Linked DNA regions of Elephas maximus indicus. The protein of the gene in region 1 purifies or fractionates together with the protein of each later gene. This does not show direct contact. Links are inferred from orthologs where the notes say so. Each region holds a gene or a part of one and is shown on either strand. Other genes may lie near its edges.

Region 1 (6,898 bases):
CCTGTGTGGTCTAGTCCCCACTGCCAACCTATACCACCTTTGCCTTGCTCACTGCCCACACCAAGTAGCTTCCTGATGCCTCAGGACCTCTGCTGGAAACATCTGGTAAACACCTCCCGGTACCTGTCACATTCAAAATTTTACAGTCGTTTGTGTGATTGATTCTCTGTTTGCTTCATTAGATTGTAAACTTCTGAGGACAGAGACCATACTTTTTGCTCGGTAAATCCCTGTTGCTCAGGAATCATTGTTAACATCCATCAACTATTGCATGCTAAGGCCCAGGATGTGTTTCCCCTAGGCCGATGCCCCCAATCCATCCCTCATTCCTGAGACCGATGCCGTGGGTGTGACCGTGGTCCTCATCACCTGCACCTACCATGGGCAGGAGTTCATCCGCGTGGGCTACTACGTCAACAACGAGTACCCCAACCCTGAGCTGCGGGAGAACCCACCACTGAAGCCAGACTTTTCTCAGGTAGGGGCTGTCTCTGCACTTTCCTGCTTCAACCAGGTGGCCCCTTCACACTGGGGGAGTTGAGTCATTAGAATTGGGAGCCCGGGTTTTCAGTCATGCTCGATTCTTGCAGAGCCAGGCTAGGAAAGAAAGGGTCTTTGTTTCCAGAGACATGCCTCGGAGCTGAGAGTAGGTAGTGCTAAGCGGTAGCACAGGGCCTTCCCCTGAAGTTCCGTATATGGTTGGTGAACTAAGCAGGGCCTGTTCTTCCTGGGCTTGGGGTGGCAGCTGGGGTTGCCCTGGCTCTGGGGGAGTAACAGGGGGCACGTGACAAGACTTGATGCTCCTTTTCCTGCCCCAGCTCCAGCGGAACATCTTGGCTTCCAACCCCCGGGTGACCCGCTTTCACATCAACTGGGACAACAACACAGACAGGTTGGAGGCCATCGACAACCAGGACCTTTCACTGAGCAGCGGCCTCCCCCTCAGCTGCACTCCTGTCAAGGGCCTGGGCCTTCCTGGCTGCATCCCTGGCCTGCTCCCTGAGAATTCCATGGACTGCATCTAACTTTGGGAGCTCAGGCCCTGGCTGGGCTCAGCCAGGACCCAGACCAGTTTCCTGGCACACCTGGAGGAGGCACCTGGGCCTCCTGGAGAGTCATGTGGGACATCTGGAGAACTTTGGGGCTGTCACCTACATCGAATCAGACTGGGCCCCATGGAAAGAACAGGCCCTGGGTCTTTCCCAGCCCTGGCCCAGAAGGATCATCTCACATCTACTCCACAGGCCTGTAAGAAGGAGGTACTTAGTTCTTCATTCTTTCTGACTATCCCCTTTCACTGTTCCACACACACTATAAATTCACCTGGAGGCCATTGTGCTCCCTTGAGTACCACTGACCCAAAGCTGCTTCCCACAGACCTCCTGGGCCTGCCTGAGGCTTTCTTGGTCAGTGCCTGGCGAGGCTCCAGCCCTTTTGGATCAAAGGCTCTGCCATTCCTTCCCCTTCCCAAACATCTGAACAGAGCCCCCAGCTTTCTGGAGTCACAGGCAAGGAATCCTGGTTCGGATGTGGACTCAGATACAATGTCTGTCCTCCCCAGATTTTTGGTTCTTCCCAACCCAGCAGCCTCTAGAAAACGCAGCTCCTAAAGGTGTGACCAGCAGGTGCCTCTCTTCTCAGTCACAGCCACCTTCCTGTTACCTCTTAACTGGACCTGGCATTCTCTAGAGACTTCAGTGGTGGGGAGGTCGCATGTTGGAAGGGTCTGCTGTGCTCTGTTTTGGCGTTGGCATCAAGCCCCTCTACCTCTGCCAGCCTTGACCTGTCCTCTGCCAAGACTGCACACACTCATGGGCCACAGGTGAGTGTGGGCAAGGGAAGCTGTCAGGATCCTGAAAATCTTCCCTCCCCGGAATGCTCTCCACCTCTGCCCTATCCCCTCGCTGCTACATGGATGCTGTTGTGATTGCAGTTTGTATATTAAAGGGTTTTTATATTAAAAATGTTTGGTTGCGCTAAAAATAAAAAGCACTTCATTGAGGCTGTTTCTGCTTCTGTCTCAGGCGAGCAGGGACAGCTCCATCCATCCTATCCTCCTAATGGTGGGGTTGGCCTCTTCCTCCACTCAGTGAGTTGGGTGTCCCTTGCCCCCTTGCTTGACTTCTTACTCCAGTTCTAGCTGGTTGTATAGTTGTATTCCAGACTAAGTTTTGGGGAGAGTGTCAAATCTGGAGATAGAGATGAACAGTGATTTCAGACTTTGACCCTGGCCCACAAGAAGAAATTAACTTTTACATTGTGATCCAAGTATATACACAAAGCCACACTTGATTAAATCCAACTTAACCTTACTATGTAACTCCACAGCCTGCACTAGTATTTGGCTGGCCAGCCTTTTTCCCGTATTTCAGAGAAGCCCAAACTCTCCCTCCCTGGGGCTGGTGGTCAGCCTGAGAGGAGACGTGCAGACAACTGTGTGCAGTTAGCCCAAGTCCATAAGCAGAGCAATGAGTCAGCTTGTGGACTTGAGACTGGACTAGTCCCTCCAAAGTAGGGGAGCTGGCTGGTCCAGCCCCCAGCCTCTCTTGGCACCTCATGTGGGGGCCTTCCTCCACTTCAGTGGTTCTCAACTCAATTTCTGGAGACTTTGGCTGTAAGCAGTGGGGGCAGGAGGGAGGAAGTATGTGCTTCTGGTACCTCGTGGGTAGAAGCCAGACAGCCCCCCGCCCCCACACCAAGCATCCAGCCCCAAATGTCAGTCGGGTAGCATTGGTAAACCCAGCTCTACTGTCATCCTCAGGCTGTGATATATTAAAAGGGCACCCTAAAGAAGGACATCTTGCCCCTTCTATCCTCCGGGAGGGTAGGTTCCCTTTGCATTCTCCAGACAAAAGGAATGCAGAGTGGTGATTACCAGCAGGGAATCTGAATCCAGGAGGCCTGGCTGTGCCCCCGATTCCTTGGCTGTACAATGGGGATAATAGTGCCTACATGATAGGAATGTTGTGCGAAGTAATAAGGTGAACCAGTGCCAACTCTCTGCTGGTACGAGCCCAGGGTGGGCGCCCAGCAAAGGGTGGACACTGCGTGCCCCTCTCAGCCGCCCCCTTGCTCCCGGAGCCCAGCATCCTTCTGATGCTTGGGCTGTGGCTGGAGGCGACCCCGGGCGGCCTGGCCGCTGCTGCCCAACACCAGCCCTTATGAATGACGGTGGCCGGCGGCCCGGCGACCTCTGACCCTCGGCGCCGGCCGCGCCCCTCCCCCCGGGTAGGTGGACAGCGGCTGCGCCGGCGGCCCGCGGCGCCAAACTTGGCTGGCCGGCGCCCGCTGCCGCACTGGGCAGGGGCGGGGGACTGCGGCGCGCACGGGGCCGTCCGGTGCCTCCGGGCCGCCTCGTGGGCTTCCGAGCGCGGTGCGGCCTCCGACCAAGCTTGGCCGCCCCGCCTGCCGCTCGGGCCTGGACAGCGGACTGAGCCTCCGCCCCGCCCTCTCACCCCGGGATTGACACTTGAGGTTCTGCAGGAGGCCTGCCGGACCGCTCGCCTCCGCCAATCGGCGCCCGCCCTGGGCGGGCCCCGGGCCCTGTCGCGCGCCTCAGCCAATTAGGCTCGTCTGCCCGCCCAGCTAGGGCCTCGCGACCGCGCGACTGGCGGAGCATCCTCGGAGCGCGTCAGGGGGTCGAGAGCCTATGGCGGCGCGGAAGGGTCGTGGCGGGCCAATAGACAGCGGCGCGGCGCCGTCAGTCAGGGTGGCGCTGGCCAATGGGCGGTGGGCTGCGGGGGCGTCACGGACAGCAGCAGCGGACTTGGGCTGAGGTTCCCGGGCGGGCGGGCGCGGAGGGACGCGGGAAGCAGGGGCTGGGCGGGGGTCGCGGCGCCGCAGCCAGCGCAGCCAGCCCAAGGGGCCGCCGCCGCCGCCGCCCAGCGCGCTCCGGGGCCGCCGGCCGCCGCCAGCACCCCCCGCGCCGCAGCTCCGGGACTGGCCCGGGCCGCCGCCGCCGCGATGGGCAACGCCGCCGCCGCCAAGAAGGGCAGCGAGCAGGAGAGCGGTGAGTGCCCGGGCCGTGACCCCGATCGCGGCCCCGCTCTGCCAGCCCCCTCCTTGTCCATCACCGCGTGGCCCCTCCCCCACGCACCCCCCCCATTCTTCGCTCCTTCTCCCCAGCGCCCCTGCCTGTCCAAGGCTGGGGCCCGAAGGCCCGCAGGAGACCTCCCATAGGGGCACCCCTGCCAAAGGCCGCCCCCGACTGCAAAGGCAGTGCCCCCCCACCCAGCTGTCACTGCCAACCATGGCACGTATGACCGCTGGGGCCCCACATGGAGCCCTGTCACCACCCCCTCTCTTCCTGGCCCATCTCCCCAAATTCTAATCCCCCCACTTTCTCACTCACCACTCACAGAGATGGGACGCACTGCTAGACCCCGACTCAGAGTTGGCAGTCTGGGAGTGCTGTGGGGTCTGCTTCCACCCCAGAGGGACCTTGGCCACTTGGTGACCACACCCCTCCCCCCCTCCAGCCCCCGCCATCTTTCTCCTGCCCTTTCCCTTTTCACCTTATCCCAGCCCCCTGCCATCCTTGAGCATTTCCCCTGAAGCCACCTCCAGCATTGTTTTTCTCTTCTGTGTCACTTGGCATGGGGGACAGGATCTTTCTGGGTCCCTCTGCCCCTCTCTTGTTCTGTCACTCTCTGCCACTCTGCTCCCTCCTCCAAGTAAGCGCCTGCCCCTGGCTGGGAGAGCAGGCTGTTTATGAAGCTAGGGAACTGCTTCAGTGCTTCCAAAGACAAATTTGAGCCAGTCTTCCTGGGATTCATTGCATCCTCTTTTGCAGGGGGTGGGGTGGGAGTGGGGGCAGCTGCAGAGCCCCTTCCGCTTTCCTGCTGGGCAGCCTAGCTCCAGGCTCTTGGAGGGGGCCCCTCAATAAATGGTTGTTTCACAACTAAGGCTCCGTCATTCACCAGGTCCCCTGGGCTGCTTCACCCGCTCCTGGCGCTGGATGAAAAGTGGGGGGGCGAAGAGTGCCTGGCTTTAGCAAGGGCTCATTCGGCTTGAGCTGGGCTGGTGAGAAAGGGGATGGGGCAGTTGGGGAGAGTAGTGGGTGACATCTAGTGCCTTGTTTTGCCAACGGACAGACAGATTCTGGTCATTCCCAAGGCCCAGCCACAGGCTTGTTTCTTTCCCTCCCACCCTCACATTGTGCTGGCCTTTTCAAGCCAGAGAGAGAGATTCCACATCTGGAACTGCTTTCAGAAATGGCCTCGAGCCCCCTCCCCAGTTCCTCCAGCTCCTCAATTGTCACTCAGGCCTAAAGCTAGACCCCACCTGAGAGTCCCTTCCAGTTACCCAGAAATAGAGCTGAGAAGGGAGCTCGTGTCCAACTACGCTGTCCCTAGTTCCTGGTCTCAAACAACAGCGTGAGTTCCCTGAATGCCCCCTCCCAGAAAGACCTGGGCCTGCAAACCAGGGAACTTTATTCCTACAAATAGCAGAACTCAGAGGAACCAGGCGTCCACGGGGAGGCCTGACATGTCACCGATGGGCGGGGGACAGGGAGGCAAGTGCCTGTAGTTGAGCGCTTGATGACAGAGGAGCAGGTGGGTAGTGTCCAAAAAAGGTCTGGGCCTGAGCATGGAGGGGACTGGGAAGAGGGGGAGGGGCCAGCTCTCAGCAGGTGAGGCTGCTGGGAGGTGGCAGGTGGAGGCAGGCAGCTATATATTGCAGTGGCTCAGTTGAAAGTTGGGAAGATGACATAGTCCCGGAAAACCTTCAGAGTGTACCAAGCACGTGCGGCGGGGAGGTGGGAAGCCACAAGGGGAAAAGGATCCCCAAAAGGCTCCGGAAGGAACTGCTAATTCTCTCAGAGCACAGACCAAAAGACACCCAGGAATGGACTGTCACAAGGAAATAGAGCCACTGTGTATTGGGCATCTAGTGTGTGCCAGGTTAAACAGCCTCCATCGATCTGCTCAGGTGATACTCATAATGGGCTATTAGCCGAATTTTCCAAATGGACTTGCTCAGTTTGACGTAGGTGACGTCACAGGGGCAGGATTCACATCCAGATCCGCCTGGATCCCATAAGTGCACAACTCAGACATTCTCAACTCGCCTCCCTGATTTTTGCTTTAGTCACTTAAACTTTCTTAATTTAAAATAATAAAAACAACTCACTTTTCTTCAGACGTAAACTTTGACCCCATCTTGAGCAGTAATGTAAATGAAGTCATGGCATTGCTGGGCCAGATATATTTTCCCTGACACAAATTAAAATACATATGTAATTAGAAAAATGAAACATCGCGTACTCCACATTCAGCCAGTGGGACCAGTGTCACACTTTGGGAAACAGTCTAAGCTGTACTTCCTCCCCGAGCCTTGCAGGGGCTTCTAGAGAAGGAGATAGGATGGGGAAAGAGGCCCCTCTTTGCTTGGAAGCTCTGAAACTGAGAGGATGGAGTTACACTAAATTTGTCCTCTTCTAACCAGGGCGGGGCAGGGGCAGTAGCCAGGCAAGCCTGCAGGGGGCACCTGAATTTCATCTGCCACACGCCAGCCCGACTGTAAGGAAAATGCCCAAGCCTCACTAGGTACCAGTTAAGTATCCTGCAGCCCCCTACACCCTCATCTCCATGCCAGGGCAGGACAGAACAAGGTCTGCCTCTCCGGAGATCCAGAATGAGCCATGGGGTGGGGGTGGGGAATCTGCACCCAAAGATGCTAAACCATTGGCAGGGGCCAGGAGGGCAGAGAAAAATGACCGAAGTCTCAGGCTCTGGCCAGGCTGGAGGAATTGAGATAGGGCAGCAACCTCTGGGCTGGTGCTGGCAGAGGACACCCCTGGGAGTTGGCCACAGGGGAAGGAGCAGAGCTAGCGAGAAGCCCCCCAGATACTCCCCAAGCCTCCGAGAGAAACCAGTACAGGCACTGAAAGTGAAAA
Region 2 (7,773 bases), on another chromosome or scaffold:
TGCCAGCATTGTGGCTGGGTGGCTGTCGTCAAGGAGATGGCTCCAGATAGCACAAACAGCTGGTGTTAGTGACGTTGCCTCAAGGAGATGGCTCCAGATAGCACAAACAGCTGGTGTTAGTGACGTTGCCTCCAGGCTTGGCAGAAAGAAAGTCCATGGTGAGACAGAGATGGGGCAAAGGCCTCTGCCCTGACCCTGAAACTACTACAGTAGCAGAAAAACAACTTTCCACATAGCATATCCTTTGTCCAAATGGTACTATTTTCAGTTTCCGGGTTCACCAATGGGCTTAGCACATAATCCAGGGAAATGGACTAATTGTAATAAGAACTCCTCACAAGGTTTTTCTCCTTTATACTTTCATTTTTTTTGTGGGTTAGTTTCCAAAGTATCTAATTAGATAATGCATCCGTTTGAGCTCAGCATTGCCTTCCTCATTTTATGCATGGGAAAACCAAGGTCTAGCAGAGGGAAGGGATCCCAAGTCATGGGACAATCTGGAGGAGTTTTCAGAGTCAGAGATCAGGTTCAGACTTCTAGCCTTGCAATCATACTGCCTACACTAAGATTAGTCTCTTAGCCAGTTTGAAGCAGTTGCTCAAGTAGTCTGGTGAGCACCATCACTGAAATATTGTTGTCTGGATGTACACCTCACCTTTTAATACTGAATTCTAAAGTGGAGAAAAGCAAATAGGGAAGACAGGCTACCTGAAACAATTAGTGTTAGAGAGACCTTGGCTCAAATCTCAACTCTGCCACATACCCGTAGTGGGAATGAAGCCTCCGCCAAGACTTTCCCCTGCTCCCCCAGCTCTGCCGCGGTTCCCCGCATCCCTTGCAGCTTCTACTGTGGTTTGGCACGCTGCGGCCTTAGCCACAGTTTGAGTTTGGTGCCAGAATCCTGTGCATGCATGAACCAAGGTTTTGGCACGTGCACAGGACCTGAAGAGCTGTGTCCTCAATCTGTCCTTGCACCTGAACATCACTGATGTGATTCAACATCCCCACCTCCAAATAGGGATGTGGGAGGGCTAAGGGCAGAGAGTTCCAGGCACCAACCCCAACCCCCAGACTCCATTGGAAATAGAAAACTCCCCAACCCCCTCAGACAGTGAACACGTGGCCTTATGATCAATAGACCCTGCATTGCTCCTTGTCTGTGCAGACAATAAATCTCCACCTTCAGTTTCCCTTGCAACTGGTGGTGTGGCATCTGTCTTATTTCGTTTGGCTAATAGGACAGGACAAGAACCCTCATTTTGTTACAGGAGCAAGTTATTTTTACCTCTTTGAGCCCCAGTCTTCTCATCTGTAGGTACAGTGGGGAGAATAGTAGTACCTACTCTGGAGCTTTGTTGTGAGGTTAAATGAGGTGGTACATGTGGTATGTCTGGCGTAAGTGACACATAGATGCTCAAAATGCGTGAGTTCTCTTCCTTATTTCCTTTCTCAAAAGCTTTCATCTGCTAAGTGAAAAGCTAGTTCCTTCATTTGGGAACTGATGATTATTATTCTCAGCCTCTCTCATCAGAATAGAGTTGGTTCATATAGCTGCTGCCAAGTAGGCCCCTACCTCACGATGACTCTGTGCACAAAGGAATAAAACACTGCCTGGTCCTGTGCCATTCTCATGATTGACTGCAGATCAAAGAAAGCATTGTGATCCATAGGGTGTTTTTTTAAAATTTTATTTACCTTATTTATTTTTTTAAATAATATTTCATTGTGGTTTTAGTGGTGATCCATAGGTTTTTAAAAAATATTTTATTTACTTTATTTCTTTTCCTTTTTTTTTGTTGTACTTTAGATGAAGGTTTACAGAACAAACTAGTTTCTCATCAAACACTACCTTGTTGTATGACATTGGTTAACAACCCCACGACATGTCAACACTCTCCCTTCTCAACCCTGGGTTCCTTATTACCAGCTTTCCTGTTCTCTCCTGCCTTCCAGTCCATGCTCCAGTGCTGGCACGCCCTTTTAGTCTTGTTTTGTTCCAGGAGCCTGTTCAATCTTTGGATGAAGGGTGAACCTCAGGAGTGACCTCATTCCTGAGCTGAAAGGGTGTGCGGGGACCATACTCTCAGGGTTTCTCCAGTCTGTCAGGCCAGCAAGTCTGGTCTTTCTTTTTGAGTTAGAATTTTGTTCTACATTTTTCTCCAGCTCTGTCCAGGACTCTCTATTGTGATCCCTGGCAGAGCAGTCAGTGGTGATAGCTGGGCACCATCTAGTTGTACTGGACTCAGTCTGGTGGAGGCTGTGTTAGATGTGACCCATTAGTCCTTTGGACTAATCTTTCCCTTGTGTTTTTAGTTTTCTTCATTCTTCCCTGCTCCCGAAGGGGTGAGATCAGTGGAGTATGGCCACTCAAAGGCTTTTAAAAAGTAGAATGTAGAACATTTTCTTTATAAACTATGTTATGCCAGTTGAGCTAGATGTTCCCTCAGGCCATGGTCCCCACAGTGCTTGGCCCAGCAATTCGGTCCCTCAGGGAGTTTGGGTGTGTCTATGGAGCTTCCAAGACCTTGCCTTGGACAGGTTGTGCTGGCTTCCCCAGTATTGTGTACTATCTTACCCTTCACCAAAGTTACTACTTATCTGTTGTCTATTTTTTAAAAACATTTTATTTATTAAAAAAAAAAATTATATTGCAATTTCACTGGTGATTCACTGGTTCATTTTAAAAGTAGATCTCCAGGCCTTTCTTTCTAGTCCATCTTAGCCTGGATGTTCCACTAAAACCTGTTTAGCATCATAGCAATACACAAAACCTCCACTGACAGAGAAGTGGTGGCTCCACACGAGCTGTACTGTACTGGCTGGGAATGGAACCTGGGTCTCCCATATGGAAGGTGAGAATTCTACCACGGAACCACCACTGGCCCCTAGTCTTGTGTTAAAAAAAACAAAACCCATTGCTGTGGAGTAGACTCCAACTCATAGTGACCCTATAGGACAGAGTAGAACTGCCCCATAGGGTTTCCAAGGAGCGCCTGGTGAATTCAAACTACCGATCTTTCGGTTAGCAGCCCAGCTCTTAAACATGGCACCAACAGGCTTTGTGTTAATAGCTCTGAAATAAACACAGAAAAATAACCTCTAGAGCTGTGAGGTCCTGAGAGGCCCATCCAGTCCAACCTTCTCATTTTAAAGATGTTGGAAACTGAGGCCACAAGAGAAGTGGTCTGCCAAAGATCACAGAGAGTCCATAGCAGAGCCAGGATAGGAACCCTGACACCCCAGCTTCCCTGCTTTTGGAATACTCATTTCATCCATTGAAATTAACACTGGAAAGGAGTGTCAGTTCCAGGGCTTCAAGGAATGCCCCTTCTCTGGGGCAGGGCATAAGTGCTGTGCCATCTAGTTCCTGCCCAACCGTTTTTTGTTTTCTTATTGCTGATCATGGTTGAAGGCCTGGGAAAGATCAGGTGCAGAACTGTGGGCCTTGTTGTCCTCAACAAGAGACAGAGAGGGAGGCAGGAGGAAGGAGAGGAGGGAGAAGAGAGGAGAGAGAAAACAGAGAAAATGAATGAATGTGGGATTACCACTGACTGACCTCCAAAAGATACTCAGGTCATATGAAAATCTTGAAGGATAGGTGTTAGTCCCATTTTCCATATTTATTGACTCTTCATCCACTTAACATATATTTAAAAACCCCTACTAGGTGGCAGGCACAATACTAGGTGATGGGGATATAGCAGTGAACAATTCAGAATACAGTTCCTGCCCTCATGCAGCTTCCAGTTTAGTGGAAGAGGAAGACATTAAAAACACACATAGCAAGTGCTACAAAGGAAGAATATGGGTTTCTAAGAACATCCAAGAGAGGGACCTGATTTTGATTACAGGATCAGGGAAGGCCTCTTTTAGAAAGTCACACTTAAATGCAAGAATGAGGAAACTGGGGCCAAGAGGGGACTTGTTCATGGTTGCAGGAAAAGTCACCGTCCATCCACGCACCTATCTTTCCAAATGGTTTTCATCCAGGACTCTTTTAACAGCCTGCAGAAGAAGGTAGCAGCACTGAGACGGGAATTTCGCTGGACAACCATTACCGAAATTACCTAGGTGTTTAGTGGTTATTATGTACTTTAGGAGAGGCAGCAAGGGATTATGGAGAGCCCTGATTTAGTTGGTAGGAGCTGAGGATCTGGTTCCAACTGACAAACTTACTGTGTATGACTTTGGGTAAGTCATTTCCTCTCTCTGGGCCTCAGTCAACCGATCTTAGACATGTCTGAGCCCTAAAGGCAACAAATGATCGCTAGGTAAAGGATTGGAGTGCGAGTGTAGCTAACCATTTGGCTCACAGGGATGAGTTTATTTGCTTCAAACTAAGCTTGCAAATTACTGTTTGAGTTGGAATTCCACATGTAGGATTTTCTAACACGAGGCAGTACCCGATTATTTGAGTTTCAACTCAAGGCAGAAGCCGTTTGGATGCACACACCTCAAGCTTCGGGTACCAGGTCCAGAACCCTGTGGGTTAGTAGGGCCCTGTATTCGCATATCCCGCTTAAATTAACGGATCAGGGGCAGCTTCGAGCCCTAAATAAAGATGGCGCCTGCGCTGGCATAGATCTGATTGCCCTCATAAAAAATGGCAGCTGGCCTCTCTCTGCCTAGCCTTACTCGCCCAAACGGGGGGGGGGGCTCTGCCCTTAGTTAAGATGGCGCCTGCTTGCGCGTCTCTGCCCGGCTTCTGGCTCCGGACGGCTGGCTTCACTGTGCACGCCCTGGTGACTCCGCCTCGTTTCCGTAGGAAGAAGAGCCGGGAATGATGGCGGCGGCTGCGGTTTGAATTCCGCGGCGCCGCCAGAATCCGAACAAGAGCTGGGTCGGAGAGGGCGGGGACCTCGGGGACTCGGGCGGGTCGCGCGACAACGAGGGGGGACCAGTGAAGCCGCCACTAGAGACATCAACGCCACCACCGTCTCTGTGTCCGTGATGGACTCGGCGTTGGAGGAGGACGTCACTCTCCCCGGGACTCTCAGCGGCTGCAGGTGCGGCCCGGGCGCTGGTGGTTCGCGGTAACTGGGCTGGTTTTCCAACTGATGGGGGTTTGCTCTAACCCGGCCTTGGGGGTTTGCTCTTGGGGTGTTTGAGCATCTCCGGATAGAAGCCGTGTGTTGTTTGGGTTCCTTAGGGTATCTCTGTGAGGGGCCCACCAGCTGATACTGTGTGTGAGGGTCCCGACCACAGCTACCTCTAGTATTTCAGAGTCTTAATTTGAGGAGGCTGTGAGGCACCAGTAAGGGGTTTTCTGAAAGAGCAGGAGGAGGGGGCCGTTAGTAGGGGCTGGTTGGGGGATGTGGCGCCCTCAGCAGGGACCTTGAAGGGACTTGATGGTTCATTCTGGTGTGGGGGTTTGCTTTCATTATGGGGAGTGTAATCGATACGTCCAGTCTTTGTGCATAGGGCGTTATAGTGGCCACCCAAGATTGAGGCAGTGGAGTGCAGTGGTTGAGAGACTGAACTGGAGTTGGGCAGATTTGGATTCAAATCCAGCGCAAATCCAAACTGACTAGCGGTGTAACCTTGGTAAAGTGCCAGTAATCTGCTTTCCCATCTGTAAAATGGGGATAGTAGTAATATCCACCTAACAGGATTGCTGTGAGGATTAAAAGAGATGATGCCTGCCCTGCAGTTTGCTTGACAAGTCTAGTGCCTGGCACATAATTAGTGCTTAAAAAGTGATCGTGTGGTGCCGTTATTATCGTTAATAATAACACAACTTGGGGAATAATGGCCAAGACTGGCCTCCCAATGGACCTGGCCCAAGAGGCTTTTGGAGTCCACGTTGTTTGTTGCTGGAGCCATGGGTCTCACCTTCTGGTAGGAAGGCCTGACAGCTCTGAACTGCATCAGGTCTCAGGCTCCTGATTGGAGAATGGGTAGAAGGAAATGGACGAGAACCTGAGTAAGAACCTTCAGTGTTTCTTCAGCTCTGCAAGGAACAGGCTGCTGCTTTTAGTTAGCAGGTCTTAATTGAAAGGTGACCATGTAATTTATTGTGCAAACCAGGATGCTTCTAAGGGCACTGTTGATATTTATGCTGGGACAGCAGGCGTGAACAGGTCCTATCTTGGGCAAACCTGGAAAAGTGGTTATGCTGTTTGTTGAGAGCCTACTGTATATCAGGCACAGAGCAAGGCCCTTTGCAGCTGCAACCTGATTTCATCCTTTTGGTAGTTTTTTATTCTCTATCTTACTGTAACTACCCCAACATATTGGGGTATTGCCTGTCACCTGGATTGTTGAGGCCTCCTTCACACCTCCAATAGTCCTTTATATTATAGCCTAAAAACTCTTAAAAATGTAAATCTGCTTTTGACAGTCTGCTGCTTTATGCTTGTTAGTCCTTCTCATTGCCCTTAAGGTAAAGTCCATTATCACTCTCTCAGACAACTCTTCTCAAGACGGTGCTGCTGGTCAAGTACTTTGGCTTTGGGACCCAAAGTAGTCTGGATTTCAATCCTAGCTCTGCCACTTAACAGCCCTGGGACCTTGGGCAGGGCATTTGCACTCTGTGAGCCTCAGTTTTCATCATCTGTAAGATGGGCTGGTATAAATCCCAGGGTTGGTATAACGATTAAAATGAGTATGAAGGGGCCTAGCCCAGTGTGCGACCCAGATCAGCAAATGTCCTCGCCTCCCTTCTCTCCTTGCCGTTGCCCGAAACACTCCTGGGTCTCTTACTAATCTCTTACTTCCCTGCTTCAGACCCCCACTGACTACTCTCTGCCCTGAGGGTATAGTTTTTTAATACAGCTTCCAAGGGTTTCATAATCTGGCCCTGTCTTCCTCTCTAGCCTCCTCTACCCTTACTCTCCCTACCCTGACTTCTCCCCACACTGCCAAACTCTTGGTTACGAATGATCTTGCCTTTTCCTTTCTTGCTGCTAGGCCTGTGTGCTTGCTGATCCTGCTGCCTGGATTGTCCTTCCTTCTTCCTTTTGCCTTATCAATGCCTGTTTTTTTTCAGGTCTCAGTTTAGATGTCGTTGCCAGGAAGACTTCATTGACATTTCCCCATCCCCACCTGGGCCTTCTACTCTTTTAGGCAGTCCCACCCATAATTTACCCTATCCCAGGCCTTATTTACTTCACGGAATTTTACTGACCAGCACTATGCACTGGAAACATATGTGAGCTATATATGTAACTTAAAGTTTTCTGGTGGCCACATTAAAAAAGAAACAAGTAACATTAATTTTAATATATTTTATTTAACCCAACATGTACATATATTATCATTCTAACTTGAAATCAGTAGAAAAAATTATTAATGAGATGTTACATTCTGTCTTACTAAGTCTTTGAAATCCAGTGTGTATTTTACCCTTATAGTACTTTGCAGTTTGGACTAACCACTTCTCAAGTGCTCATTGGCCACATATTGCTGGTGGCTCCTGTACTGGGCAGCACAGTTATCGACTGTTAAATGGCCCGTCTCCTATATTATCCTGTGACCTGTTTGAGAATAGGGACTGCATTTTATATAAACCATGGCGGTGTAGTGGTTAAGTGCTACAGCTGCAAACCAAAGGGTTGGCAGTTCGAATCCGCCAGGCACTCCTTGGAAACTCTATGGGGCAGTTCTACTCTGTCCTATACGGTTGCTATGAGTTGGAATCGACTCGACGGCACTGGTTTTTTTTTTTTTAATACATGTAATAGGGGTTCAGTAACTCCTTGTTGAATCACCGAATAAACAATGCTCCTTTGAGGTGACAGTGTAATCCCCCTTTTGCAGTTGAGGACACTGAGG

Evidence for each region. Proteins that work in one complex are often made in the same cells at the same time.
Region 2: the proteins of PRKACA (region 1) and CDK5RAP2 purify together in Homo sapiens (affinity purification with mass spectrometry; 6 studies listed by BioGRID and IntAct, with this or other methods). This does not show direct contact. The link is inferred for Elephas maximus indicus from reciprocal best matches to the Homo sapiens genes PRKACA and CDK5RAP2.

Annotation. Positions count from the first base shown.
Region 1 is NC_064821.1:32,762,640-32,769,537, reverse strand, and holds the start of PRKACA (cAMP-dependent protein kinase catalytic subunit alpha), read left to right. Parts: upstream 1-3,897; 5' UTR 3,898-3,963; coding exon 3,964-4,009; intron 4,010-6,898. Other genes in the region: histone chaperone ASF1B, read left to right, coding at 302-478, 819-1,025.
Region 2 is NC_064827.1:70,482,779-70,490,551, reverse strand, and holds the start of CDK5RAP2 (CDK5 regulatory subunit-associated protein 2), read left to right. Parts: upstream 1-4,760; 5' UTR 4,761-4,950; coding exon 4,951-5,006; intron 5,007-5,306; exon of another isoform or gene 5,307-7,773. UniProt on the Homo sapiens protein: Potential regulator of CDK5 activity via its interaction with CDK5R1. Negative regulator of centriole disengagement (licensing) which maintains centriole engagement and cohesion. Involved in regulation of mitotic spindle orientation.